Linked DNA regions of Rattus norvegicus. The protein of the gene in region 1 purifies or fractionates together with the protein of each later gene. This does not show direct contact. Links are inferred from orthologs where the notes say so. Each region holds a gene or a part of one and is shown in the gene's direction. Other genes may lie near its edges. The genes, in order: Slc30a4, Mettl9, Cip2a, Pds5a, Stx8, C7h19orf25 and Pds5b.

Region 1 (3,500 bases):
AAAAACTCATAGAAAATTTAGAAAATGAGAAGCAATCATGGTAATGCATGCCTTATGTCAGTGTCTGGGAGGCAGAGCCAGGCAGATCTCTGAGTTCAAGGTCACCTTGTTCTCTATAGAGAGTTCTAGGCCATCCAGGGCTACATAGTGAGACTGTCTCAGCTAATCAATCAATCAATCATCAATTAACAATAGAAAATGAATCAAAATACTCTCCCAGAATAGAATAAAATTAATGATAGGAGAAAAAAGAAAATGTATGTGTGTGTTCATGTACATACATACATACAACACTCTGTGTTTGTTTCCCACTTATACACGGGAATATATTCCAAGATCCCTAGTAGATGCCTGAAATCACAGACTGTTCCAGACCCTAATACATATTGTCTTATGTTGCCACAACTAAATATCACAGAGTAAGTAATTTATAAAGCAAAAATGTATATTTACCTTGTGTTTCTGAAGACTGGAAAATTCAAGATCGAGAGGCTGCAGTTGTTGAGGTCTTTTTCATAGTCTCAAAGTAGTACTGAGGGTCACATGATAAGGAAGATGATCCTCATTCAGATCTCTTTTTCCTTTAAAGTCATAGTTTTATTGAAACAAGGCTCTGCCCTTAGCGTATCACTTAACACTACCACCCAGCCATCGGTTTAAAGTTCCACCCTCTTAATACCCCATAATGGAGATCAGCATGGGTTGTGGCGGGGACATTAAAGTCTAACATACACACACACCATACTTATTCCTATGCCATTAATTACACCATAGCTTCTAAATATCTTTTGTTCCTCTTTTCAGAGATTATTATCTGTATAACTATAAGCTAAGCTAATTTTTACTCTTTGGGTTGTTGCTAGTATGCACTTTCTAGAATTCTTCAGTGTCATTTCATGTTCAACCCTTCCTGAATAAAAGAAAGCATACCTTCTTTCTGCTTGGCTGTAATATTTAGATACTGTTGCTATTAACTCACTGTATTCATAGAATTAATAAGTTGAGCAAAAGTCGCATCCTGCTTTTGTTTTTACCACCAACTTAATGGTTAACCTCATGAAGTAATGAACACTTTGAAGACCCTGTTAATAGAAATGGGTTTTTTTCACCAGAAATTTGTGCAGTGGTCCTTCCATACCTACAGATTCCATGTCCACAGGTGCTACACCTGTGTTTCAGTTGGAAAATATTTGAAATATATGTTTATATAGAATGTATACATAATTGTTTTCTTATAGTATTTTCCTAAATAGTGCAGTGCAATAATTACATTGTATTAGATGGTATCAGTAATCTGGAAATAATGTAAATTATGTATAGGTTTATATGTACAGGCTGTGTGTGCAAATATGGTATTTTATATAAGATATTTGAACATGCACAGATTTTGATACAATTTTCTGGAACACTTCTCATATAAATTAAAGGATATGACATCTATACTATTTTTCATGAAACTTTAGAATACCTTGATTTAGTTGTATCAGGATAGAAATTTAGTTAGCAGGGTTTTTTTTGTTTTTTGTTTTTTTTTGTAGGATGTTACACATTTTGAGTTTGATGGCTTACTTTTTGTAGTTACTCTTCCTTCCCTTTCTCCCAGGTGGATACATGGCAAATAGCTTAGCAATAATGACAGATGCACTTCATATGCTAACTGACCTTAGTGCCATCATACTCACTCTTCTTGCTTTGTGGCTGTCTTCAAAGTCACCAACCAGAAGATTCACCTTTGGATTTCATCGCCTAGGTAGGTAATTTAAGTTTATTTGATTTACAATATCTTAATGGAAAGCCATAATGAACTATGACCCCGATTAACTGAAATATTTAAGGTAATAATGGTTTTGAACAAAGAAATGAAAATAAATAATGAGACTTACCCAAAAAGCTATCTTCCATGGAAAACCCCGCTAGGCCTCACTAAATAGTTTGTACAGAATTATGTGGTTATAGTTACTCTTCAAATGTCTCGTGTGCCTGAGTATGCCATAACAAGGAGGCTTACTTCCAGTTTACTGACCTGAGCAAAACTAATTGAGTGACTCATTAATAAGCATTCACTGCTTCTTTTACTTTAAAATTTTCAACTGAAGCCCATTTTAAACATTTCATCATATGTTCAACATATGCTATGTGACTGCACTGTATCAATGTAATTCAGCAAATGCATCCATAATATTTCATTTAAAGACTTTTAAAAATCTATATTATTGCCTACATAGCTCTGATTCTTACTGTTGCTGTGACTTTAAACTTACTCTAAAAATACATAAAATAACTATTTGAACTATTATCTGACAGGCCATATCTGTAGATCATAGATTTGAAAAGTTCAGCACTTGATAATGCACATTAAAGAATTGAGATAAAAATGATATTCTTTGGCTTTTTTTTTTTTACACACTCAAGATTCTAGTCCCCTCCCGGCCCACCTCCTACTGTTCCACATCCCAAACCCCCCCTCCACTATGATGTCTCCACCCCACCCACCCCAACAGACCTCTAAACTCCCTGGGGCCTCCAGTCTCTTGAGGGTTAGATGCATTTTCTCTGACTGAACCCAAACCCCAGAGTCCTCTGCTGTATATGTGTTGGGGGCCTCATATCAGCTAGTGTATGCTGCCTGGTGGATGATCCAGTGTCTGAGAGATCTCGGGGGTCCAAGTTAATTGAGACTGCTGTTCTTTTACACCCTCCTCCTCAGCTTCCTCCAGCTTTCCCTAATTCAACTACAGGGGTCAGCATTTTCTGTTGATTGGTTGGGTGCAAATATCTGCAACTGGATATTGCCTTGAGAATCTACTAAGAAAGCAGAAAATAGGGCTAGAGTTATTAAAAATTGGCACTTTATCAATGAACCAAATCAAACACTATCTGTAGTAGTAAATATCAGCCTGGTTTAATTGCAGTTGTCATGTTCTGTTGTGTAGATCGCTTTGCTCTTAGAAATAACATTTTTCTGGGGCTGAAGAGATGTCTCAAGAGTGCATACTATTCTTTTTAATTTTTATTTTTAAATAACAGTATTCTTTGATTTTTAAGACTTACTTATTTTTATGTTATGTTTATAGGCATTTTGTCTGCATGTATGTTTGTGCACCACTTACATGCCTGGTACCCAGGGAGGCCAGAGAGAGCATCGGATCCTCTGGACCTGGAGTTACAGACAGTTATGTGCCACCGTGTGGGTAGTGGAAATTGAACCTGGCTCCCCTGGAAGAGCAGCCTGTTCTCTTAATTCCTGTGCCATCTCTCCAGTCCTATATGTGTGGCTCTTCCAGGGGAATTTAGTTCCCAGCACCCACAAGAGCAGCTAACAGCTGCCTGCAATTTCAGTGTCAAGGTGAAGAGCTGCCTCTGGTCTTAACAGTCATCTACACTCACACACACACACACACACACACACACACACACACACACACACACACACACACACACACACACACACTCTTAGAGTTTATTGATGGTAGCCTTTTAATTGATGTTTTAAACACCTG
Region 2 (3,500 bases), on another chromosome or scaffold:
AGAAAGTTTGTAACTTTAGTGTAGAAATCTCTGCCCTGAGAGTGGTTCCTTCATACACCTACAGAAAATACTTCATAAATATTATTTATCTATAAATATTATTTATCACTTCTTAGTTGAATTTTTAAACATAGGCAAGGCCTAGAATGGAGAAAGCCAAATTTTGGCAACTGGTCATGGTACTTAACAGGCCTCTTGTGCTCTTCTTTTCTTTCCTCTTGAGGCTTGAATCTAGTTTTTGCTAAATGTCTGGATCCCCAGTCATCATCTGGTCCTTAAATATGTTTTCAGGCACCATAAGCCATCCCTCAGGATTTCTTACTTGATTTTCATCCTTATTTAAATGAGCTTGGCGTATGTTTGCTTCAGTAAACATTTGTTATTTTGTATTGGAAATTGAGTTTATGTAATTTAGGTTGATGTTTTATTCCTAAAATTGGTTGTATTGAATTTCTGTTCTTTGCCATTATTCTTTCTTCAGACATCAGGTGAGTCACCCCGGCAGAGATTTTTTATGAAGGATTCTCTACCTCTTTGAGTAATAAAAGGTGGGAATCTTTTCTTTAGAAAGTACTTACATTCAGTACTTTATATGATTGTCAGTTTCAAACTAAATTACTTCCCTTCTACCTGTTGGAAGAAACTCATTTAAGACTCCTTGCTCTAGAGTATAGTAGTTTGATCAAAGAGGCAATATAATTAGTAAGTACTGTTGGCTTCCCTTATAACCCTGCCTCTACCCTTTTGTTTTGATGGAGCCTTGATATATTGCCCAAATTGACCTCAAACTCCTGCTCTCCTGAACTCAGTGATATACACCTCTTGCATACTGTATGCCTTGCTTATTCTACTTTTTATTGTATGTGAGCCTGTGTGTGTATGCATGTGTGCGGGTGCATGTACCTGTGCACGTGTCAGGGCATATTAAGGGCAGTAGATAAATTGTGGGGATTGGTTTTCTCCTACCATGTGGGTTGGGATTGCATTTAGGCAGTCAGACTTAGTACCTCTGTCCACTGAACCATCTTACTGCCTCTCCTCCCTTGTTAAACTTAGTGCTTCTGCCTGCCTGCCTTCTTGCCCTGTTTTAATCCAGTTCAAAACAGAACTGGGAACTCAGTAACTCAGTTTTGAACCCAGAGATATTTTCTACTATGTTAACTCACTACAATAGAAATAACTACATAGTTACGATGAAACCTTTTTGAGCTCAGATACTTACCAAATTTCTTCCTGGAAGAAAGAAGGCTAAGTAAAGTGAGTTGTTTTTTATTCTTTGATTTTGTTTTTATATAGGGTCTTGTTATATGTCTTTGGCTGGTCTTGAATTTGTGGCAATATTCCTGCCTATACCTCCTGATTGCTGGGGTAACAGGCATGTGCCACCACCTCCAGTTTAAAAATATTTCCTTTCTTCTTTAAAAAAATTGTGGTACTGGGAATTTTACTGCCTGGTACAATTGAGGCAAGGACTCTATCTACCATAAAGCTATATCCCTGGAGAGACTTGATAGCTTTGTTCATCTTATTGTATAAGGAGGAGACATACTTCCTCTGTAGAGTTAGATCCAGAGAGACTTGACTAGAGAACCTAGGATGATTATGAAAGACTAGAGGCAGCGGAGACCATTCTGACTATATGATATGTTTCCAAAACCTTGACATCATATTAGGATTCCATATGTACTCGGATGATTCTGTTGTGCGAGGTAAACATTGTAGGAAGTTTAGTTTTTCAGATCTTGCTGAACTTCTTGAAGGGCAGAGTTGTTTTTGGTTAACTAACTGGACTTGTAGATTTTGACTCTGACACTTTTTTATGGAGCCCCCATTGCGCATGTTCTTTGCAAATAAGGCAGTATTTTCCTCATTTCTTTTTGGTACCTTTAAATGTAGATTTTGGTGAGTTAACTTTGTGGGCTCTGACCTCAGGTGATTCCCAGCTTTATAATTTTATAGTATCATGTCAGGGTTCTTCACATCCCAAGGAGATGGCTTGGGAAGCATGTTTTATTATAGCTCGGAAAGTTTTTGGTAAAATATTTTATGACTTAACTTGGATCTGTGGCATGAAGTCAGCATCAGGCTGTCTGGAGCCCTTCTGCTTGACTTATGAGCAATGTTATGAGTTATGTGTCTTATGAGATAAAACTTTCTTTGGTAAGAAGTTGTGGTTCTTAGCAACATGCTTAGCTGTCTCTGGGCTCTTTTTGGTTCCTACTCTCTGGTCTCAGCATTGTGTGAGGCAGAAGACTTACTGTAAATACATCATTAGATTTTGTTAACTCTCTGTGGTTTTAATGGCAAAAGAAGAGAGGGAATTTAGTACATCATCTCCATGCCTTTTAGTGTTGGTGACGCTGGTCCTATGGTAAGCATCTTGTTACAAGCATCTTGATAGTCATTAAACAGTAAACCTCTTTTACATTCTGAGTATTCCCAGAGTGACAGAATGATGTACACTTCCCTGCTTCTCGTGCCAGTGCTTTTGCCGTGTGTTTTCCAGGATCTGGGGAGGAGTTGCCTCAGAAACTGCTTCAGGTTGCAGAGAAAATCTTAAAAGCAGGCTGCTGGCAGCTGCAGGCACTCAGCCTCACTGCAGTGTAATAGCTCCTTGCATTTGTGCTGTTTGAGTTTTTTACTTCATTTGAAGAAAGGTGGTTTGGCTTAATGGAGAAAACCAGGATTTGGGAGCAAGAAGGGAGTAGGGAGTGTGCCTCTTTATGGCTTGCTTGGGCTGTACCTGCTTTTCTGAGGGAGGGCTCCTTTAGGCCCCATATAACCTTGACCAGCCTCTTTTTACTTTATTTTTTCAGTCAGTATTATCAGCTTGAAGTGTTTTAGGACCTTTAATAAAGTACAGGTCTCAGCTAACTATAAACCAACCAGAGTATGGACCCACTTCCATGTCATCCAGCTGATCTCACAACCGTTGCTCTTTTCCTCTTTTAAAGCATTTTAAATCCATTTTTAGGCATCTTAAGACTCTTTTATACAGAGTTACTTTTCCTATCACTGTTGTTGAGTCCATCTTCCTAAAGGCCTGCTTGGCTCCTCTGCCTGGTGCTGCCGTCTGGCTGGGGTAGTCTGCCGTCTCTGCCATCCCTCCACCTTTTCTTTGTGAATTTGTTTTTTGGCCACGAAAGATAAACTTTTTAAGTTGTATAATAATTTCACAAAGTCAGAAAACCTCGGTGCTGTTTTCTCTGTGTACGTAGACGTTCTTAGAGTCATAGATTTCATCTCCTGTCCTTCTTCCCCCAGGTTGCTAGGAAGAGGCTCCATGTTTGTGTTCTCACCAGATCAGTTTCAGAGACTGCTTAAAATTAATCCGGACTGGAAAACCCATAGACTTCTTGATTTAGGTGCTGGAGATGGAGAAGTCACGAAAATCATGAGCCCTCATTTTGAAGAAATTTATGCCACTGAACTTTCTGAAACAATGATCTGGCAGCTCCAGAAGAAGAAATACAGGTACCAGTTCTAGAGGTGTGCTGGGA
Region 3 (3,500 bases), on another chromosome or scaffold:
TTGAAGACCCAAACATAAGTGCTTCACTGATCTTAAGTATTATCAGTTTGCTGTCTCAACTGGGTAATGTATTCATGGTTTCTTTTTCTGAGTTTGGAAGACTATGAAAATATTTTTAAAAGCCAGATAGAATTATAGAATTTCTTAAAGAATGATTTACATTCAAAAGATTAATTGTAGAACCTTTTAGAGTTATTATTACAGATCTCTCAAAGTCCCTCCAGACAGACAGAATGATTGATAGATAGATAGAGATAGATAGATAGATAGATAGATAGATAGATAGATAGATAGATAGCAGATATATAGGCACATGTATATTATAGGCACATATAAATAATCATGTTTTAAAATTATTGGGTCAAAGAATCTGCCATATATCAAAGACTTTCAGGTTCCACGGAAAAGAATGCATTTGGGAAATGACATTCTATTGAATGTTAAAACAACCAGAAGCCACATGAACGTAGTGCCAATGTTAAGGAGATCAACTAGAAAGACATATCTACCAATCAGTTATTCTTCTGTGATAAACTACATTTAACTTAGAACTAAAGATAAACTATAGTAGCTTTTCTATTCCTTTTATGTTTCATTTTAAGTCCATCTATTAGTCATTCCCCCGTTGGTTTGTGTGTGTGCAGAGGTGTTGGATACTTTTATATATGGTTATAATATTCAGGTATGCTTAGTATTCAAGTTTTAGCAGAGATAGACATTGCATTGTTTAGCAGAACAATCAAAGTATTATTGATGATAAATATTCTGATTTTGTATTATCCTTTAAGCTTCTTAGCATTTGAAGTCTATGGAGCAGAATCTCATTCTAATTGATCTTAATTTAAATAATTGCATATTGACAAGTAGCTGTCATATTATACATCACAGATAAGAGTAAAATGGTGTTTTTTATTTATTTTTTTTTAAAGCTTTATTTATTTTATGAGTACATGTAGCTGTCTTCAGACACACCAGAAGAGGGCATCAGATCGCCATTACAGATGGTTGTGAGCCACCATGTGGTTGCTGGGAATTGAACTCAGGACCTCTGGAAGAGCAGTCAGTGCTCTTAACCGCTGAGCCATCTCTCCAGCCCCTGTTTTTTATTTGTTATCCCAGCCTTTCTTATCCTTTTTACCTTTAGGGATGCAATCTTAGTTAATGGCTTGATATGTATATTTCTAATTTAAATTAATTAAATTAATATTTTTTAAGTAGTAAGCTTTATATTTTAAGTATTTGGGTTCATAAAAGAACTTGAAATGATAATCTGACTGCCCATAGCATGTAACCCAGACTGAGCTGGAAGTCAAATTTCTCTTGCCTCAGCCTAAGTGTGATAATTATAGACATATATCACCAGCTATTACATTATTTTAAGAGCCAAGTTTCTATACATATGTAAAACAAGTTTTTTTCTTTGCTATTCTATGTAGAAAACATTTGTCCTTTGAAATTAGTGGGCATTAAATAAAAGAAGAAATCTGTCTTAACCACTGTGGTAACTTAATCCTGTAGCCTCGGCACCCCAGAGGCTGAAACAGGAAGAATTGCCATGAGTTCCAAGCCAGTCTGGGCAGAGTGACTCAAAACACCAAACTAAACAGCTAGCTCATGTGATATCAAGATAATATAACAAATTATTTTACTTTCGTTGAATGATTTCTACATGTAAGAGTGATATATTTTATGCCATTTTATTTTAACTTTCAGCTATAGATAATGAAACCCGAGACTGTCTTCAGAATATCTACAATCTGAATAGTGTGTTGTCGGGAGTGGTTTGTCGGAGCAGCACGTGCCACAATAATTCAGTGTTTTTACAGGTATACAAATCCTCACGTTCACTGTTACCTGGTCTCCCTTTTTTATCCTCAGACCAAAACTGCTAACACCTTTTACTGCTGTGTTACAGTTGACTTGATGACAGCGTGATCATATACAGTTCTTGTTAGATCTGGTTGGACACATACTCACTGTGTAAATATTTCTTGAGAAGGGAACAGAGGAGACCAGATCTGCATTATTACCACTTTAACTTAAAACTCACTTAAAAACAAAGATGTGTGCATTTTGAAGTGTGAACTATTCGTCTTAAAATTATAATTTGGGTTGGTATGTAGTCTCAGACTATTGAAGAAACATCATAACAAAATTTAGAGCTATGGTTTAGTCTTTGTTAGCATAATTTGAAAACTCTTGCACCCATCATTTTATTGAATCTAAAACGTGATCATCTGCAAGAGAAGGAAAACATGACCAATTAAACTGACATGCAGTTATAGAGATAACATATAGGAGGAAAAATAGATCCTCAAGCTAATTCAACCACAAGTTTTAATGTAAGTAAGGGAACAGGGTAGATGATTCTGGTCAGCTTTGGTTCCCACAGCCGAGCACTTAAAATGGTCCATCTGATGAGGGAAAAGATGTATTTATCCCATAGGTGGTTCAAGCCCATGCCATCTACATAACCATAGACCTGTCAAAGGCTTTTCTGGCAAGTGGGAAGGGTAGGATGTGATCATACCTCAGGTAAGGTCAGAGAGATACTGGGACCAGGTTTGTTCCTTTTAACACTTTGCACTCTTGAGAACTACGCACGGGGTCACATGGGAAATACATCATACCTCCAGTGACCTAAAAACCTCTAGTCAGGCCCTAACTGCCAGAGACCTGACACCTCCTATAATTCCCTCCTGAGGAACTAAGGTTAAATCACAGAACCCACCCTTCATGGACACAGTTAGGTGCCACTCAAACTGTACCAATGATAAGGCTTGAGAAAATATATGTAGAAACAGATAAACTAAGAATGACTTCCAAGGTTCTTAGGATATATATTTCAAATAAAATTAGAATTAGGAACTGGCCTGGTTCTTGTTCTATTTGGTTCCTCAAATGATGTGCTCAAATGTGTGCAGTAGTCCACTTTTATAAGTAGCCAATCTGTTTTCATGCGTTTGTTTACTCACAATTATTTTCTCAATTTCAGTGCATTCAACTGCTGCAGAGATTAACATATAATGTCAAATTCTTCCACTCTGGTGCCCATATAGATGACTTAATTACATTCTTGATTGGTCATATGTAAGTATGCAACAAAACATGTACTTAGATAATTTGTTGTCTTATTTTTAAACTGAAACTATGTGGTAGATATTTCTCCTTGAGTAATGTTGTCTAGCTTAAAAATAAAGATTTACTCACTTCTTTATGTGTATGTGTTGTACCTGAGAACGTATTTGTGATACACCATGTGTGCCTGTAGAGGACAAAAGAGAGCTCAGGCATTTGGAGCTGGAGTTATAGGCAGCTGTGTGCTGTCCAATGTGGGTGCTGAGAACAGAACTAGGGTCCTCTACAAGAGCAGTAAGTGCTCTTAACCTACCGAGCCATCTTACCAACCGTGCTTTCTTGTTTTTTAAACTAAGATCGCTGTTTGTTTACTCCACTTGGCTGATTTCAAGGGTTGAGTATATAAAGCAGGTTTAATTTTC
Region 4 (4,213 bases), on another chromosome or scaffold:
TGGCGCCAAACGGATGGCGGCGCTGTCCACCAGGCGCGCGGCCGCGTCGGGTTCGAGGGAGGCGGGAGCTCGGCCGGCGGAAGAAGGGGCGGGAGCGAGGTGCGCGGTGCTCTCGCGGGCTCTCGCGCCGCTCGCGTGACGGGCTCTGGGTGTGCGCGACGCTCCGGCTCCGCGGGGCACGGGCAGCCGGGAGCGCGCCGCGGCGAGAGGGCGTCTGGTGCGGGTGGGCGCGAGGTGCGGGCGGGCGCGGGGGACGCGCGGGCGTGCACCCGCGCGCGGGCTCTCGGAGGAGCCGCGGCCGAGGCTGCGCTTCCTCAGCCCGACGGAGAGCGGCAGTGTCGCCCCGGCCGGCGCACGCTCGGCCCGCGTCTCCCCCCGCGGCGGCTGCTCCTCGGCACCGCCAGCCCCAGCGCCGCTCCGGGGCGGGCGGGCGGCGGCGGCGGCGGCGGCGGGACCCACGGAGCCGCTTTGTGTGCAGCCCGACGAGGGGCGGCGGCGGCGGCGCAACCACCTGACAGAGGCCCGGCGCTCGCTGCACCGTCCGTCCGCATGAGGAGGAGGTAAAGCGGCGGCCGGGCTCGCGCCCTCGGCGGCGGCGAGGGAGGGACGGAAGGGGAGACCGCAGGGGAGGGCGCGCGCTGAGGCCCGGCGGGGTTGCCCGGAGCCGTGGCTCAGGCCTCGGCGGTGCAGAGTAGCGCCGGGCGACCGAGAGGCTTGAGACGCCGCCGGGCTCGGTTGCTGAAGTTACGGAACAAAATGTGAAGTGCGGAGCCGGGTCCTCCGCTTCCTGGCTCGGGGCTCGGGCCGCGGGCGGCTGGCGGGGGTGGCCGGCTGGCCGGAGAGGGACGGCCGCGCGGCGGGGACGCCGGGGGCCCAGGGCTGGGCACGGCCACGGCGTTCTGCTCCTGGGCGCCGACGCCGCGCGTGGGTCCTCTTGGGTACCTAGTTTTGCGGCCTAAGCTGAACCCTCTAGGCCTCGAGTCTCCTTTCCCGGAGGTGACCGGCCAGGCGGGGACCGGGCCGCTTCTCCTGAGCCGAGCTGGGGCCGTTGGGTCCGAGCTGACCCCCGGAGGCCACCAAACTTCCGACCTAGGTGCTCGGGGGTACATTTCATTGTGAAAAGAGGGCTAGGAAACTCCGGGAGCTGCTCGGCGCCTCTCGCGGCCGGGGTTGCTGCAGCCGAGAACCCCGTGGCACCCGGGCTGGCGCGGGTGGGGGTGGCGGACGCCTGCGGGGTCCGAACCCTGGGAAGGAGCGAGTGACGGGGTCCCTGGCCTCGGGGGGAAGAAAGGGCCCTTTCCAGATTAGAGATTTTTGAAATGAAAAAGAGGTTACAAAGTCGCCCCTTTCCCGCTGAACTTTGATTTTCTGACCGATAGAGGCCGGTAGAGGACTGTGAAAGAAAAGTTATCCCCCAGGATGGACTTCACGCAGCCGAAGCCTGCCACGGCCCTCTGTGGCGTCGTGAGTGCGGACGGGAAGATCGCTTACCCTCCGGGAGTAAAAGAGATCACGGACAAGATCACCACCGACGAAATGATCAAACGTTTGAAGGTAAGGGTCTGGGTCGATATTCTTCTGTGCTCTGGATGGCTTTTGTGACTCATGTGGTTTCATTTGACTACTCAACCTGGCCTTTGGAGTTTTTAGTACTAAGTTTTTAAAGATATCTTCACCGTCCCGGAAAAGTATTGTTCAAACTTGGCGATATCTTTGGATAAGTTCTGAAAAGACATAGTAGCATGGGAAATTTAAAGAGTGTGATCATTTTTCTGTTCTGTTTATTGCGCATAAGAACACATGGTTTAGTTGCTTCCCTTTGGTTATTTTTTCTTTAATGAATATTGTTTAAGCAACTCATACCCTTAGGTGTAGTGATTTACCCACGAAAGTTCCTATTTTCATCGGCTCCAAAAAAGACTGATTTGAGCACAAGCAGCCATATTTTTTCTCCCTTAGATTCTCATGATTTCCTAATGTCTGGAAGCCTAACTATACATGGGCTAAACTTCATACAATGTACAGATTTTTCAGAATTTGAGCTTAAAGAGAAATGGTGATTTTATTTTAGAACCCAAGAAAGTTGAGGACTGGATTGTTGATATTCTGTGAGGTTTGTTTGTTTGTTTATTGTCGGCAATCTTAACAGTCATTTTGGTTGTCACAGTTGGCTTGGGTGGAGTAGGGAGACGATGAGGCAGAGCCCTGTAAGGAGCTATCAGTAGTCTGTGAAAGATCTTAAACTATTGGAAGTAGGGCATTGGCAGTGGGGAGACAAAGAATGGCTCAGGTGACTTGTTTGAAAGAGGACATGTAACCTAGCTATTCTTGAACTTAACAGTCTTCCTGCCTCCACTTCCAAAACACTAGAGCTGTAACCATGCCCTGCTAACAACAGTGGTTCTCAACCTGTGGGTCAGGACCCCTTTCCCACAGGTTAACTGTCTGATATCCTGTATGATTCATAACAGTAGCAAAATTATAGTTATGAAGTAGCAATGGAATTATTTTGTTAGAGGTCACCACAACATGAGGCAACCTTAGGAAGGTTGAGAACCATTATGCTAAAAGGCACACTTCAAAGTTAAAGTCAAATGTGGTGGAAGGCTAGGCAGGAAACATTGTTGACAGTGTTTCTGCCTTATGCAACTTTGTAAAATGTATTTTTAGGGCCTGATCTTAGAATTGAGCATAGTACCTAGTAAATATTATGTGTTTAAAGTGTTTCTGTGGGGCTGGGGATTTAGCTCAGTGGTAGAGCGCTTACCTAGGAAGCGCAAGGCCCTGGGTTCGGTCCCCAGCTCCGAAAAAAAGAACCAAAAAAAAAAAAAAAGTGTTTCTGTGTTTTAGTTTCTATTTGTTGGTCTTTTGAAAGACCTAGCTTCTTTAATTAAAAGGCATCTTCTCTGTTTTCCTTCCATTCCTTTTTCTGGGTGTGGAGGTGGGGACACGTGCAGGCAGTGCTCTATCACTGAGCTATACCTCAGTCTAAAGCAGAGAAATCTTTCTGTTGCTTTCAAGACAGGGTCTGGCCTAAAACTTGCTCAGTAGATAAAGCTGGTCTCAACTTCTCTCTGTTCTCTGAAGAACTTTGAAGTGTTGGGAATATAGACATGTGCCACCAGGTTCAACTAAAGCCTTTTTTAAAAAAATGTGAGACTATTTTGTGTGTGTGTGTGTGTGTGTGTGTGTGTGTGTGTGCGTGCATGAATGTTTATGTGTAGGTATGTAGGCACTGAAGCTGGTCTTTGCTACTTTGTGGGTTCTTTTTCCCCACCCTTTATCCCCCCAGTTTTACCCCATCACTAGAGGGAAGAGAGAGATAGAGGCCCCTGAATCTAATTTAATGTCTTCTTCTTTCTTTGAGCATGGCTACTAACAAACTGCAACCAAGCTTCCTAAAGGACCAACAACCACTTGACTCCTCCTCTCAGGGTCCTAGCATTTATATACCCGCTGAAAAGTTCCCAGAATTCCATATACAGACACAGAAACTATCTGCAGCTAGCAAAACCATGCCTCTTGTCAGCTGCTGTGAAGCAGCCCTGTATCCTTACACCTAGAATTAAAATGAAAACATATTCTTATAACATTTCTGTGCTTTTTTAAAAAAGCAAACCTCCAGAATTCTCATACAAGGTCTTTTGTGTATGTTCCTGGAGGGCAGAGGACAGTCTTGGGTATTGCCCTCACTTCCTTTGAGACAAGGTTTCTGGTTGGCCTAGAGTTCACCTGTTAGGTTGGGCGAGCCTCCAGACCCCTCCTGCTGAGATTGCAGTTGTCTGCACCACATGGAGCACAAGTGCTGGGAATTGGGGCTCAAACTCAGGACCTCAAACTCAGGACCTCATACTTAGGAGGCAAACACTAGTCACTTAGCTCTTTCTCCAGCTCTCTGAAGTGTATCTTACTACTTAAAGAGTATTAATATTTCCCAAGATTATATTGTGTATTTTGAGTAAGAATCCAAACTAAGAAATAAAGCTGATCAATAAAATTAGCATGCATGTCTATGTGTGTTTGTCTTGTGCATCCCCCACCTTGGGTGTTGTTTTGGAGGGAGAGGAGTCTTCTCTGTAGCTCTTGCTGTCCTGGAACCCATTATGTAGTTCAGAGTGTCTTCCTCTGCCTTCTGAGTGCTGGGACCTACCCCAACTTTGAGACAGGGTCTTACTGTTTAACTCAGGCCAGTCTTGAACTCACAGCCCTTTTT
Region 5 (4,194 bases), on another chromosome or scaffold:
GGTCTTAAACCTTTGAGAGTTCTACTTTAGTGGGGGGGAAAGAGGGAGAGGGAGGGGGAGAGAGGGAGAGGGAGAGGGAGGGGGAGAGAGGGAGAGGGAGAGGGAGAGGGGAGAGGGGAGAGGGAGAGGGAGAGGGAGAGGGAGAGGGAGAGGGAGAGGGAGAGGGAGAGGGAGAGGGAGAGGGAGAGGGAGAGGGAGAGAGAGAGAGAGAGAGAGAGAGACCCTTACTCATACTCCTACCGAGTTAGACTCATTTGGTCTCTGAATATGGAGCTGTTACACCCACACCAATTCCCTAGGCTCGGGAATCCTGGGGGCGGTGGTGCCTGGCCAGACTTTTACCACTATCCCCACTGCCTCTCAGGCGCTACCAAGTCAGCGTCTCACTGTCCCTGAGTAACAAGTCAAGGTTGCTCTAGGCCTCACCATTGAAGCCGATCACAGCCTGAAGCTCCAGTTCGGCTACGTCGGTCTCGGGTAAAATTTGTTCTTCCATCCTGGAGAGTTTCAGCTGGTTGATTCCTCAACTCCAGGGTGCAGCGTCTCCTAGTCGTTATGGTAACTGGAGCACGCATGCGTGCTAGGTTTACGCCAGAGCAGAAACCCAGCCCACTGAGTTTAAGTTGATTTTCCCCTCTTGCAAATGTAGGGAGGACTTCCTTATTATGTATTTTATTCATTCTGGAAATGTAGGTGGTAGGTTGATACTGGGTACGCAAGGTAAATATCCTCCTCTCCGTGTAAAGGTCTGTGACTTTTTTTAAACTATAAAATTAAGCCCCTCATGATGATTATTAAAAATAATTGAACACAGAAAAACTGAGCACAGAGAATTGCCTGTGATGAATAGGTTGCTTAAAAAAAGCATGGAATTGCTACTTCCTTGTAAAGAAAAAAATTGTTTTAAAAGACACTAAAAACGTTTTAGTATAGTATGCAAGTGTGTGTGTGTGTGTGTGTGTGTGTGTGTGTGTGTGTGTGTGTATGTTGCCTCTATGTATATTTCCTGCGTCAGCCATCCAAGTGCTGGAATTCCGGGCTTGAGTTATCACACCCGGCTTGTTTTTGCTGTTTTGAATTAAGAAAAAAAGCATGCAGAGCCGGGGTTGAAGCGCTTCCATTCCCTGGAAAAATGGTTTGATTCTTTTCAGCAATGTAACCATTTTCCTTTCCTCCAGCAATTCATGTAAATTAACAAAAATCGATTCTTGCAACCCACTGTCCCCTAGGGGTGCGCTTTGGGGCGTAGTTCTGAGGTCAATAAAACAGGTTTCACTTTGCAAACTCTGGGCTCCGGTGGCGCACCCTCCAAACTGCGGAGAATGAGCCGCGCGGGCCGCCGTAGTCAGCTGCTACGAGCAGGAAGTGTCCCAGCTGCAGGCGGAGACTGCACCATGGCCCCAGACCCCTGGTGAGTTGCCGGTGATGGCGGTGATGGCAGCAGTGTATGGGGATTAACTTGGGGGGTGGAACTGGCTTCCAGGGACTGGCAGAAACCCTGGTCATCGTTGAGCTTGAGGCTGGCGGCTTTAGGGATGAGGATCGGGCGAGGATCCTCCTTGTTGAGGGGACTCAGCCATGTACTGCCTACTCGGTGCTAACTCTGTGGTCCCAGGGGAGACTCTGACCTGGGGGAGCTGGGACTTGAGTAATCGAGTAATTTGCCCCCTTTTTTATGGGGCTTCCTGCCTATCCTGCTTGTGGCTGACTGCATGCGTAGACTTCCCTGGGCTCCTGTAAAAGTGAAGTCGATATAACCTTTCGGTGGGATATTCCTTCACCCATTAATCCCCCTGCAGGAAGGGAATAAACTGAAGTTCACACTCCATGGTCACCAGTTAGTTAGTAGCTAGTTGGGCACGGGTGTTATGGGCTCTTCACAAAAAACTTGTAGGACTCTGAGAGGGAAATTTTGCACTTGTAATAAGCCCTTTCCTGCATCAGGAGCATGAAGACTTATGTGAGTAAGAAGTGGTGTAGAAAATACCTAATAGGGATCATTTATTTAGCAAAGAAGCCCCAAGGAGAGAATGATGAAAAAATATCTATACAAGGAACAAATTGCTATAAAGTCATGACCTTCCTGATTAACAATTTATTACACTGCATTTCTGTAAAGTCTGTGTTGGAGAATATGCCTTATGTTGGTGTTTCTGGTACAATTTATAATTGTTTGATGGCAGACAGTTTTGAATATGAAGAGAGTGGATCCCAAGGTCAGGCTCAGAGTTACCTGGAATCTAGGCTATTTGGGCCAGTAGCTGAATTGTTTGTTGTTTGTTTTTCAGTGTCTCAGTGAGTTTAGGTTGATCTTGAATTCCTGATCCTCTTGCCTCAGTCTCCGAAGTGGTGGCATTACAGGACTCTGCCACCATGCCCAGCCAATTGCTGAATTTTCCCATAAGGTTTTGACAATCGTATACACCCCTGATAGAAGTTTAGAGACTACTGAGTATCTGAAGGAAAAAAGATAGCACCTTCATCACTTGGAAACAATCAGTGCTCACTTTTTTTTCCAGTGCACTTATTGTTTGAATTTATATCCTGCTTGTATTTTACAAAACAGGAAGCATTTCTCCATGCCCTTAAGTAGTCTTAAAACCATGATTTTTAATGCACATCAGTGCATTGTCTGGGTGTGCATAACTTATTTCAAATTTGAGCTCAGTGGTAGAATAATTGTTTACCACATCCAAGACCCTGGGTATGGTCCCCAGCAGGACAAGAAAGCTTTCAGCTGTCAAATGAGAAAGCCACTGTGACAAACAAGACTAACAGCAAAAGAGTTGCTTGAGTGTCTTGGGTAAAATTCTCCTGATCTCATTAGATTCCCGTGCCACGCTCTGCAGAGAACTGATGTCCGCTATTTTGTACCTTCCATGTGGCAGAACATGCCAGGCATGTTTTCTTCTCTCATCTTTGCTTATGCCGTGTGCCTTCCACAGTGTTTAGATTTCGCTTCTCCTTCCTATAGGGAAATCTGCTTTAGACTTTTTTAGAAGTCAGCCCAAAGTGTCCTCTTGCGGCCCAGCCTGTTTGAGTGCCTCATCAGTGATCTCTTCCTTCCTGGGCTCTATAGACACTCAAGTTAGGTCCCTTTCCTAATTGATGGGACTTGGTTAGGGGTTTATATGTTTGATGTGCTGTCACAGAGCTGGACTGAAGCTCCTGTCTTCATAGGTGATGGTGTGGAGACAATAAGTATGGGGAAGTTGGGGCTAGGATCATTTTTCTTATTACTCTGCTATATTATTATTAGTCTTTTTAAACCACCTGCTTTTTTTCATAAGCCTATACCAGATTATACTGATTCATACTGGTTCATACTGATGTATACGTGAGTCTAGGCTTAGGGGGTGACATTGCCTCTGAAGTGCTTGTGGAGTTCACAACACAAAGTTCTCTGTATAGGACCTGGAGCCATAGCCCCAGCCCGAGCTACACACTTTGGTGACTGAGCCTAGTGCCTTGCATAAGCTAAACATTGATCTATGCCCTTACTCACCACCACCCCTTTCTTTTTGAAGTATGAGACTGATCACTAAGTTTTCCCCAAGCTGCTGAGGTTATAGGCTACTACTTCTAGTACTGGAATATTTTAGGGAAGTAAGTTACTTATCTTCTTATGGGTAGAACTGGGACATCCGGGCAAACAGCAGTTTTCAACATTTTGAAATGGACAGTCCTGGAAAATACATCATTCACATGAGCACAGGAGTCCCCGCTTGTAAGGAGCAGAGTGGCGTGCGAGATGAGACAGGAGATGAACATGCTGTGATAAGGAACACTCTGGGTGCTATTGGTGGTTGATTTGAAATTTTTTTCTAGAGATTTATTAATTTATTTTATGTATGTGAGTATACTGTCACTCTCTTCCAGAAGAGGGCATCGTATCACATTAAAGATAGTTGTGAGCCACCATTTGGTTGCTGGAAATTCAACTCAGGACCTCCAGAAGAGCAATCAGTGCTCTTAACTGCTGAGCCATCTCTCCAGCCCTGAATTTTAATTTTTAAAAGATTATTTATTTTAAGCATGTGGGTGTTTTGCCTGTATGCATGTCTGCACACCATGTGTTTGCCTGGTAACTTACAGAGGCTGGAAGAGGGTATGAGACAATTCTGAATTGCCACGTGGGACCTGAGAATTGAACCCAGGGCCACAGGAAGAGCAGCAGTGCTCTTAACCTCCGAG
Region 6 (4,053 bases), on another chromosome or scaffold:
GCCAGGGTGAGTGGCCGCAGCGCATGGTCACTTATTGGGTGAGGAGGCGCAGCGGCCGGGATGGGCGGGCAGGCACTGGCTGCTCCCACCAGCTGCAGCCTCACTCCCTGTGTTTCCATTTTGTCCCTTTGCAGAAAGTCATTGTCCCCTCTCCATCGTGGCAGAACTCTGCCTCATCTCCAGCAAGCAGTGGTGGTGGCTCTACAGCCACACACAGCAGCCAGTGACCAAGGGACAGGACAGCTGTCACCCTCCTACCACACCTGCTCGGCAGCTTGACCAGCGACTACACTGCCTGTTCCCTGCCCCTCATGCTGGGAGTGCTTCAGAGCCCCTCCAAGGCTTGTCACCTCTGGCAGCCATCCTGGCTATCAGTCTTGGGCCATGGTGCTGTCCCTGCTAACCAGGGCCTTTGGAAGGCCCCTCATCTTGAGGAAGGCCCACCTCTCCCCAGGCTGGATACCCCTGGAGAGCCAGAGATGCCCCACTCTCAGGACAGAAGGCCGGTACCCCAAGGCCCTGCTCCCAGGCCGGGATAGGAATATGCCCCAGAAGGCCACGGCAGAGAGCTGCATGGGTCACGTGACAGCCCGCAGCTCAGCCTCAGCTGCTCCCAGTGGAAGAGACGTTTCCTCACTCTTTTTGGAGCAGGTATGGCAGACAAGAGGTCAGACCACAGCCACCAACCACCTGCCCCTTCCCTGTCTCCAAACCATCCCCATGTCTAACCTCATAGTTGGCAAATAAAGTTAAACAGAAGATGTCGAGTTTGTGGTATCCTTGAGGGTAGGGTGGGCTCAGGGTGAGACATGGGGCCCTGGAGGAATAAGGAACCACAAAGGAAGACTGCTCTGAGCCCAGAGACCCTTGGCAGGGGGATCCACCAAGTGCTGAACAGCCATAAACAGAAAGCTAGCTCACCGCCATCCCCCGTGTACACACACACACACACACACACACACACACACACACACACTGCTCTTTTGAGACAGGGTCTCACTGTGTAGACCAAGCTGACCTGGAACTCACAGAGGTCTGCCTGCCTCTGCCTCCCGAGTACTGAGATTAAAGCTCTACCACAAGGAAACAAGACTCTAGGAATACCTTACCCTGCAGCTAGGTTCCATCCAGCATTTATTGAGCGCCCACTGTGTACCTGGCAATGGTTGGACACTGATTACTATTTACTGCTCGGCCAGGGAGACACGAACTCAAAATCACTCCTTGCCTCTTACCACACGTGGTGACAGAAGCACAGTTCCCTTTGATCTTACTGGATTGTGCCTAGGAGCATCTAAGCCTAGGGCTCTTTAAGAAGGGGGAGGGGTTTCCCGAGGAGTGGCGCTGGAGCGGACCGGAAGTGCTAGAACGTAGGGGCGCTCAAGGAGGAAGCGGAAGTGGCGGCGGCTTCCTAAGTTCTTGGAGCGAAGATAGGCAGCAGGGTTTTTCTACGGCATACTGACGCGGAGGTCGAACCAAACTCCGAGGTCCCAGGAGGAGGGTCAGGGAGCTCGGCGCAGGTCCGTAACGGGTGCGTAGGAGTTCGCGGGGTGAGAGGGCCAAGCCGAGAGTGCACCCCGTTAGCGCGCGCTTCGCCTACAAGATGAGCTCCAAGGCCAAGAAACGCGTGGTGCTGCCCACTCGCCCCGCGCCTCCCACGGTAGAGCAGATCCTGGAGGACGTGCGAGGGGCACCCGCCCAAGATCCTGTTTTTACTGCCCTGGCCCCAGAAGGTAGGAGAACATAAGAGTCCCGAGTCCCAGCCCGAGTGGGGAGCAAACCGATTGCAGCCAGACACCTAGGGACCTATCTTTTTTGTCCCTGTCCTTCTCTTCCCCTACAAAATGGGATCATCAAAAATAAAGCCGAAGTGCTGCCGAGCTTGGTGATTTAAGCCAACCCAGGGGTCTAGGGCAGGAGGATTGCTGTGAGTTCAGGACCATGTCTCAAGGGGGCGTGGCCAGTTGCTCCTACAAAGAAATGGGGGAATGGTACGTGTAAGGGCCATTTGTGTGAATCCGGTCCTAGAATCCAGGAACCCAGACAGTCCTGGGTAGAACAGCAAAGCCAGGGTGGCTGGAGGGGACCTGTCCTCTCCGTGACCCCCAAACCCTGGGTTTTTTCAGGTCTGAAACTGACTAATTTTCTAGTGTCTAGGTAGGTATATGTTACCCTCAGATTCACCACATGGCCAAGGAAGACCTTGAATCACTGATGGATGGTCACACTGTTTTCTTCTCTTCAGACCCCCTAGAGCCACTCCCAAGGGCTGAGGACTCTGAGGTCCAGCAGGAGCAGATCTACCAACAGAGCCGGACCTACGTGGCTATGAACGAGAGGCTGCGGCAGGCGGGGGATGCGCTGAGGCAGAAGTTCGATGGCCTTCGGCAAGCTGGTCAGAGGCTGGAACAGGATATTAGTCAGGTGACATCAGCCACGTCCTAGAGCCAAGGTTAAACCTGATGTCCTTGGCCCAGGCCTGGGCACCTGACAACCAGAAGCTCTGGGTCAACATTTACTGCTCCAACCCTACCCTTGGGGGACCCAGTGGCCCACTCCGCGTGCTTGGGGCTTTGTCCCCTCTTCCATCCTTAATGGCCTCTCACCGGTGATGGGACTTGGGGACATGGCCACCTCGTTTTGGGGACACCAGCCTAGATTGCATCTAGGACTTGACTGCAGGTCAGGGCTCAGAGGCAGTCTGCCCCATCGTTACCAGTCTTCCACCAATGTGCTCTTCCTGCCCCCTGTCACCCTGGACAGTGAAGATCTCCGTCCCCAACATCCACAGCAGGTCAGCCACTATTGGCTTGGTGACAGAGTAGTCTGGCTACCCCCTTCCTAGGGCTGGGGCTACTCAACAAAGGGGTTTTCATTCTGGGGAGGCCATGGGTCCCAGAGGAGCCCCCCAAAGGCTGGAGTCCTGTGTGTGGTGGACATTGACCCTTCTGGACTAGGGTTTGGTTTGTCTTCTTGCAGAAGACCCACCACTCTTGGAGTGGCCGGACTTTAGTTCTGAAGATGAAAGATGTTTGATGCCTGAACACAGATCTCCCTTAAGCTGGACTAGATCACTGGGGGCCCAAATCCATGCCACCCCTTGGCCACTCGGGTGTTGGCACCGCACCGGCCTTCTTGGGTCCCAAGCTGGCTGGACCTGTTTTGTCAGAAATGGTTTTAGCTTGTGGGCCATGTCATTCCTGACCTTCGACATTCCTGGTGGCCACAGGGTCTGGCTTGCCCTGACTGGTGCAGCCTGGATTCCTGGTCTCCACTCCCACCATGACACCTCCACCACAAGTGACCAGTGGCTGATGGCCAAGTACAGCTCCGGTGACCCTCAATCAACCTTGGCTCCAGCATGTGGAGACCTGACACGTTGTCCAGTCAGTGGGGAGCTCGGGAGCCCCGAATCGCCTTCTCGGGTTGGACAACAGCTGCAGAAGAAGGAAGGTTCTGGAACAACCTCCCCGCTCTGGAGCCCATGTTAAAGATGAAACTCCAGAGCAGCCAAATGTCTCGCTTTATTAAAGATATGAACAAAGAATCAGAAGCCAGGCTGGGCGTCCTCCGGGGTCAGTATGTACAGAAGTGTACACTGTAGATCAGGGTGCAGAAGTGTACACTGTAGATCAGGTTACAGAGTGTACACTGTAGATCAGGGTGCAGAGTGTACACTGTAGATCAGGTTACAGAGTGTACACTGTAGATCAGGGTGCAGAGTGTACACTGTAGATCAGGTTACAGAGTGTACACTGTAGATCAGGGTGCAGAGTGTACACTGTAGATCAGGTTACAGAGTGTACACTAGATCAGGGTGCAGAGTGTACACTGTAGATCAGGGTGCAGAGTGTACACTGTAGATCAGGTTACAGAGTGTACACTGTAGATCAGGGTGCAGAGTGTACACTGTAGATCAGGTTACAGAGTGTACACTAGATCAGGGTGCAGAGTGTACACTGTAGATCAGGGTGCAGAAGTGTACACTGTAGATCAGGGTGCAGAGTGTACACTGTAGATCAGGGTGCAGAAGTGTACACTGTACATCAGGGT
Region 7 (3,500 bases), on another chromosome or scaffold:
GCAGAATCTCCTGAGACTAGTGCAGTTGAATCCACACAGTCCACACCACAGAAAGGACGGGGAAGACCATCAAAAACGCCATCACCATCACAACCCAAAAAAAATATGTAAGTTGTAAATAATATTAAATTTCAAACCAATTTCAAATTATTTTGCAAACTTTATAAGTTTATAAGCATATTTATTGCTGTATTTAAATTCCAAATATTTTGTCCAAATATTATTCAAATATAAGATATTTTTATAAACTTATCTAGGGAATTAACAGCCCAATTAATATTTGTACATTTTTATAGGTCTAGAGAAGTCTTTATAAATGAATGCCAAATAGTTATGTAGTCTTATGGTGTACACACGTGCTGTTTCCCAGTAGTCACTATGCCTCAGCCAGGTTTCCTCATAGCTGCAGGCTACAGCTCCTCTCAGTCATTCCCCTAGTGAACTTTCGGCACTGGCATCTTTGCGTCCTTATGCTTACTTATGCAAATGCATTAACAGGAGAGGCAGAGCTTTGAGTCTGCCCAAGTCACCAGCACAGCACAAGCACCAGCGCTGCGAGCTGCACAGCAGACAGGGGCGTCTCCCGTTAGAAAGTACAGCCAGAGCATCATGTCCTGTTAGTCAGAAATGCCGTCTTCTCCTACGCATGCTCACTGTGTAGCTGTAACCAGTACTTGGCTTTCAAAACATTAGTGCAGAGTTGGCACCAAAATAGGAGGTCATCGTTGGGTACCTTTAAAATCAAGTATAATTACATCATCTTGGTAATGGTTCTATCAAGCCCTGATCGTATACTTGCCTTTCTTTAGTTTCCGCACATCTCAGCTAAGTACTTGGGTACCATAGAGTTTTTCCTGTTCCTGTGTGCTCCATAGGAAAAGGAAAAGTTGCCCGAGTGTCTGCTAGTGCCTAACTCCATGTAATTTCTCTATAATGTTAGAAGTACAGGTAAGTACCTTATCATGACAGCTTCCTGACTGCTGGATCCAACGAGCAAGAAACTACTGTAGTCAATATTTAAAATATCTCATCTTTGTAATTCTTTTAATATCTGGGCATCATAAACTTAAGGGCTTTAAGTGGTTATGATTTCCCCCTCAAGTTTCATAAGGTCTTTCCATGAACCTTCAGAACCAAAGTACATTTTTTTTCAGCATAGAAGGATACTTTTTACCTTGTCAGACTGTTTTCAATTTTCTAGACAGTTGTTTTCCAGATCTGGAATAATATGTCATAATTTGTGTGCTTTTTGTGTTCTAACTGTAATGTAGTTGAGAACACTGTCACCCATGTCGTTCTCTGTGGTGGCACATCACAGAGCCAGTTCTTATCCTCACGAGACTTGCTCTGCAGTGGACAGGCGGGCACTAAGGAGAAACACACGAATAGGAAGCTATGACTCGGATGTTTATCTTGAAATATGTAGGGCATCTTAAGAGAATATAGTGGAAAGAAGTTGGGGGAATTTTCTTTCTGGAATGTGACAGTGAATTAACTATTGAAACTAATAGAAGAGATGGGATGAGATGACTCACTGGGTAAAGACTGTTCCTGCCATGTCTTACTGCCTGAGTTCAATCCCCAGTACCCACATGGCAGGAGAAAGAACCAGTTCCCTGAATGCCCTGTGACTTCCACAGGCTGTCTGTGGCACATGTGTGTTCACACAGTATATAAATACAAAACAAGTAGGAGGGAGGAGGGAGAGAATGCTGTAGGCAAAGTTTCTGAAGTGGGGAGATTTTGGTAAATCCAAGGAACTGCAAAAGGCAAAAAGGTTCAGTAGATTGTCACAGTGAGGAACAGGCAGGCAGGCCAGGACCGGAAGGGACTTACAGGTTCATTCTTGGTGCAGTGCAGGGGTTTGTCTGGGGTGATGGCGTCTGTTCTGTTTTCAGAGGATCACTGTAAGGAAAGGGCAGGTGCTAGGAATGCATGGTGCCAGCAGTGTCAGGGAAGCTGGGTGCATCTGTGTGCTGGATTTGGATTCTCTCTGCAGTCCAATGCGCTCGCTGTTCTCAGCTCAGAGGATGCTCGCTTTGAGGCTTAGTGAAGACTGTGATAAGGAGGAAAGATGAGGCAGATGCTGGCTTCAGGTTGTTGTGAAGTCCTTTATGGTGATAGGCTGGGTGACACCTTTTTTCCTTTTCTAGAAACTGTAAGATCCTAAGAGTAATGCTTATGGGTCAAGATGAAAATTTATTTCTCATCTCATGACATAATTGAGAATAAAAATGACCAAAATTCATAAACTATTTAAGACATTTCTTATAGTGAATTAACACACAACTTAACATCGGGATTCTCATTTTATTTTCTGTGTTTTCCTTTAGCCGTGTAGGACGCTCCAAACAGGTAGCTACTAAAGAAAACGATTCAAGTGAAGAAATGGATGTGCTTCAGGCCAGCTCTCCTGTCAGCGACGACACTACGCAGGAAGGAGCAGAAGAGGAGGATATTTCTGCAGGAAATGTATGTCCTTTTTGAAGTGTCACATATGTGGTATTACAAAATGCAAAAACTGAGCCAGTAAATATTTAGTCAGCTCCATTATAACACTTGCTGTTGTCGATAATTCTAGACATTTATGCCTTTGTAGATTAGTTCGCTGTGTTATTTTACTTACCAGCTAGGATAATGAAGAAACAGCGTTGAGGGGAGCTTGAACTGAGAATGATGGGGATTGCGATGTCTAGAGAATGTGTCAGCTGAGTGCAGAGGAGTCCAACAAGTTTCTCGCTGCCAGTCTCGGCATGGGAACCCCTGAAGTACTGTGTATTTGTACTCATGGATGTCTTTGACGTTTCTGTTCTGAGTCTCCTGATAGAAACCAGAAGAAGCCCCACTGAGTAAAAGTGAACCTTAAAGTCCAGTGAGCCTTTGGGATTGAGTTGTAAACGGCCTTTCTGTGGCTGGCAGTGCTGCTGCTTTTACAGAAGTAGGAGCTGGTACTTTTCCAGAGACTTCCTTCTTTTAAATAGCAGATGCTATTGCTAGCTATCTCATACTGTCTGTCTGTCTGTCTGTCCACCCACCCACATCCCAAGTGCTGTCCCTCCTCCTGGTCCCCTACCACATACTTCTTATTGAGGGGAAAATTAATCCAAATAGGAACTGTGTTCCTGATACATTAGTGCTAAAATTTTAGATCAGCCCAGTCAGTTCTTTTCATTTTGGAGACTTGAGTTGTTTGGTCGGTTCCCAGTGTTAGACTCTGGGCCAGTTCTGTTTCACGTGGTTCAGTGGTTCCATCCCGAGGGTTTGTGTAGATGAGTCTCCACAAAATCATCTCAAAGCAGGTCAGCTTTGTTTCTTAAGGACTTAGAGGAAGGGGGTTAGAACCTAAGATGAATCATTTGTAGTAATGGAGAACAGCTGATTATCAGGTCCATTCACGCAAAGCCCTGCTCCTTTTCCTTCTGCTGGTTTATCCTGACCATGTTTTGAGTCAGAGTTTTAAGCTTCCTGTAGGCCTTGCTAGTAAACGGTAGTATGATTAA

Evidence for each region.
Region 2: the proteins of Slc30a4 (region 1) and Mettl9 purify together in Homo sapiens (co-immunoprecipitation; 3 studies listed by BioGRID and IntAct, with this or other methods). This does not show direct contact. The link is inferred for Rattus norvegicus from reciprocal best matches to the Homo sapiens genes SLC30A4 and METTL9.
Region 3: the proteins of Slc30a4 (region 1) and Cip2a purify together in Homo sapiens (affinity purification with mass spectrometry; 3 studies listed by BioGRID and IntAct, counting the BioPlex papers as one, with this or other methods). This does not show direct contact. The link is inferred for Rattus norvegicus from reciprocal best matches to the Homo sapiens genes SLC30A4 and CIP2A.
Region 4: the proteins of Slc30a4 (region 1) and Pds5a purify together in Homo sapiens (affinity purification with mass spectrometry; 3 studies listed by BioGRID and IntAct, counting the BioPlex papers as one, with this or other methods). This does not show direct contact. The link is inferred for Rattus norvegicus from reciprocal best matches to the Homo sapiens genes SLC30A4 and PDS5A.
Region 5: the proteins of Slc30a4 (region 1) and Stx8 purify together in Homo sapiens (co-immunoprecipitation; 3 studies listed by BioGRID and IntAct, with this or other methods). This does not show direct contact. The link is inferred for Rattus norvegicus from reciprocal best matches to the Homo sapiens genes SLC30A4 and STX8.
Region 6: the proteins of Slc30a4 (region 1) and C7h19orf25 purify together in Homo sapiens (affinity purification with mass spectrometry; 3 studies listed by BioGRID and IntAct, counting the BioPlex papers as one, with this or other methods). This does not show direct contact. The link is inferred for Rattus norvegicus from reciprocal best matches to the Homo sapiens genes SLC30A4 and C19orf25.
Region 7: the proteins of Slc30a4 (region 1) and Pds5b purify together in Homo sapiens (affinity purification with mass spectrometry; 3 studies listed by BioGRID and IntAct, counting the BioPlex papers as one, with this or other methods). This does not show direct contact. The link is inferred for Rattus norvegicus from reciprocal best matches to the Homo sapiens genes SLC30A4 and PDS5B.

What each region holds. Positions count from the first base shown.
Region 1 is NC_086021.1:130,218,889-130,222,388, reverse strand, and holds part of Slc30a4 (probable proton-coupled zinc antiporter SLC30A4), read left to right. Parts: intron 1-1,603; coding exon 1,604-1,750; intron 1,751-3,500. UniProt on the Homo sapiens protein: Probable proton-coupled zinc ion antiporter mediating zinc import from cytoplasm potentially into the endocytic compartment. Controls zinc deposition in milk.
Region 2 is NC_086019.1:185,026,316-185,029,815, forward strand, and holds part of Mettl9 (protein-L-histidine N-pros-methyltransferase precursor), read left to right. Parts: intron 1-3,264; coding exon 3,265-3,474; intron 3,475-3,500. UniProt on the Homo sapiens protein: Protein-histidine N-methyltransferase that specifically catalyzes 1-methylhistidine (pros-methylhistidine) methylation of target proteins.
Region 3 is NC_086029.1:65,279,415-65,282,914, reverse strand, and holds part of Cip2a (cellular inhibitor of PP2A), read left to right. Parts: coding exon 1-63; intron 64-1,713; coding exon 1,714-1,826; intron 1,827-2,995; coding exon 2,996-3,090; intron 3,091-3,500.
Region 4 is NC_086032.1:42,904,920-42,909,132, forward strand, and holds the start of Pds5a (sister chromatid cohesion protein PDS5 homolog A), read left to right. Parts: upstream 1-1,413; 5' UTR 1,414-1,419; coding exon 1,420-1,554; intron 1,555-4,213. UniProt on the Homo sapiens protein: Probable regulator of sister chromatid cohesion in mitosis which may stabilize cohesin complex association with chromatin. May couple sister chromatid cohesion during mitosis to DNA replication.
Region 5 is NC_086028.1:53,153,300-53,157,493, forward strand, and holds the start of Stx8 (syntaxin-8), read left to right. Parts: upstream 1-1,394; coding exon 1,395-1,411; intron 1,412-4,194. Other genes in the region: Cfap52 (cilia- and flagella-associated protein 52), read right to left, coding at 427-496. UniProt on the Homo sapiens protein: Vesicle trafficking protein that functions in the early secretory pathway, possibly by mediating retrograde transport from cis-Golgi membranes to the ER.
Region 6 is NC_086025.1:10,039,505-10,043,557, forward strand, and holds C7h19orf25 (UPF0449 protein C19orf25 homolog), read left to right. Parts: upstream 1-1,424; 5' UTR 1,425-1,603; coding exon 1,604-1,733; intron 1,734-2,245; coding exon 2,246-2,445; 3' UTR 2,446-3,553; downstream 3,554-4,053.
Region 7 is NC_086030.1:5,174,442-5,177,941, forward strand, and holds part of Pds5b (sister chromatid cohesion protein PDS5 homolog B), read left to right. Parts: coding exon 1-107; intron 108-2,333; coding exon 2,334-2,472; intron 2,473-3,500. UniProt on the Homo sapiens protein: Regulator of sister chromatid cohesion in mitosis which may stabilize cohesin complex association with chromatin. May couple sister chromatid cohesion during mitosis to DNA replication.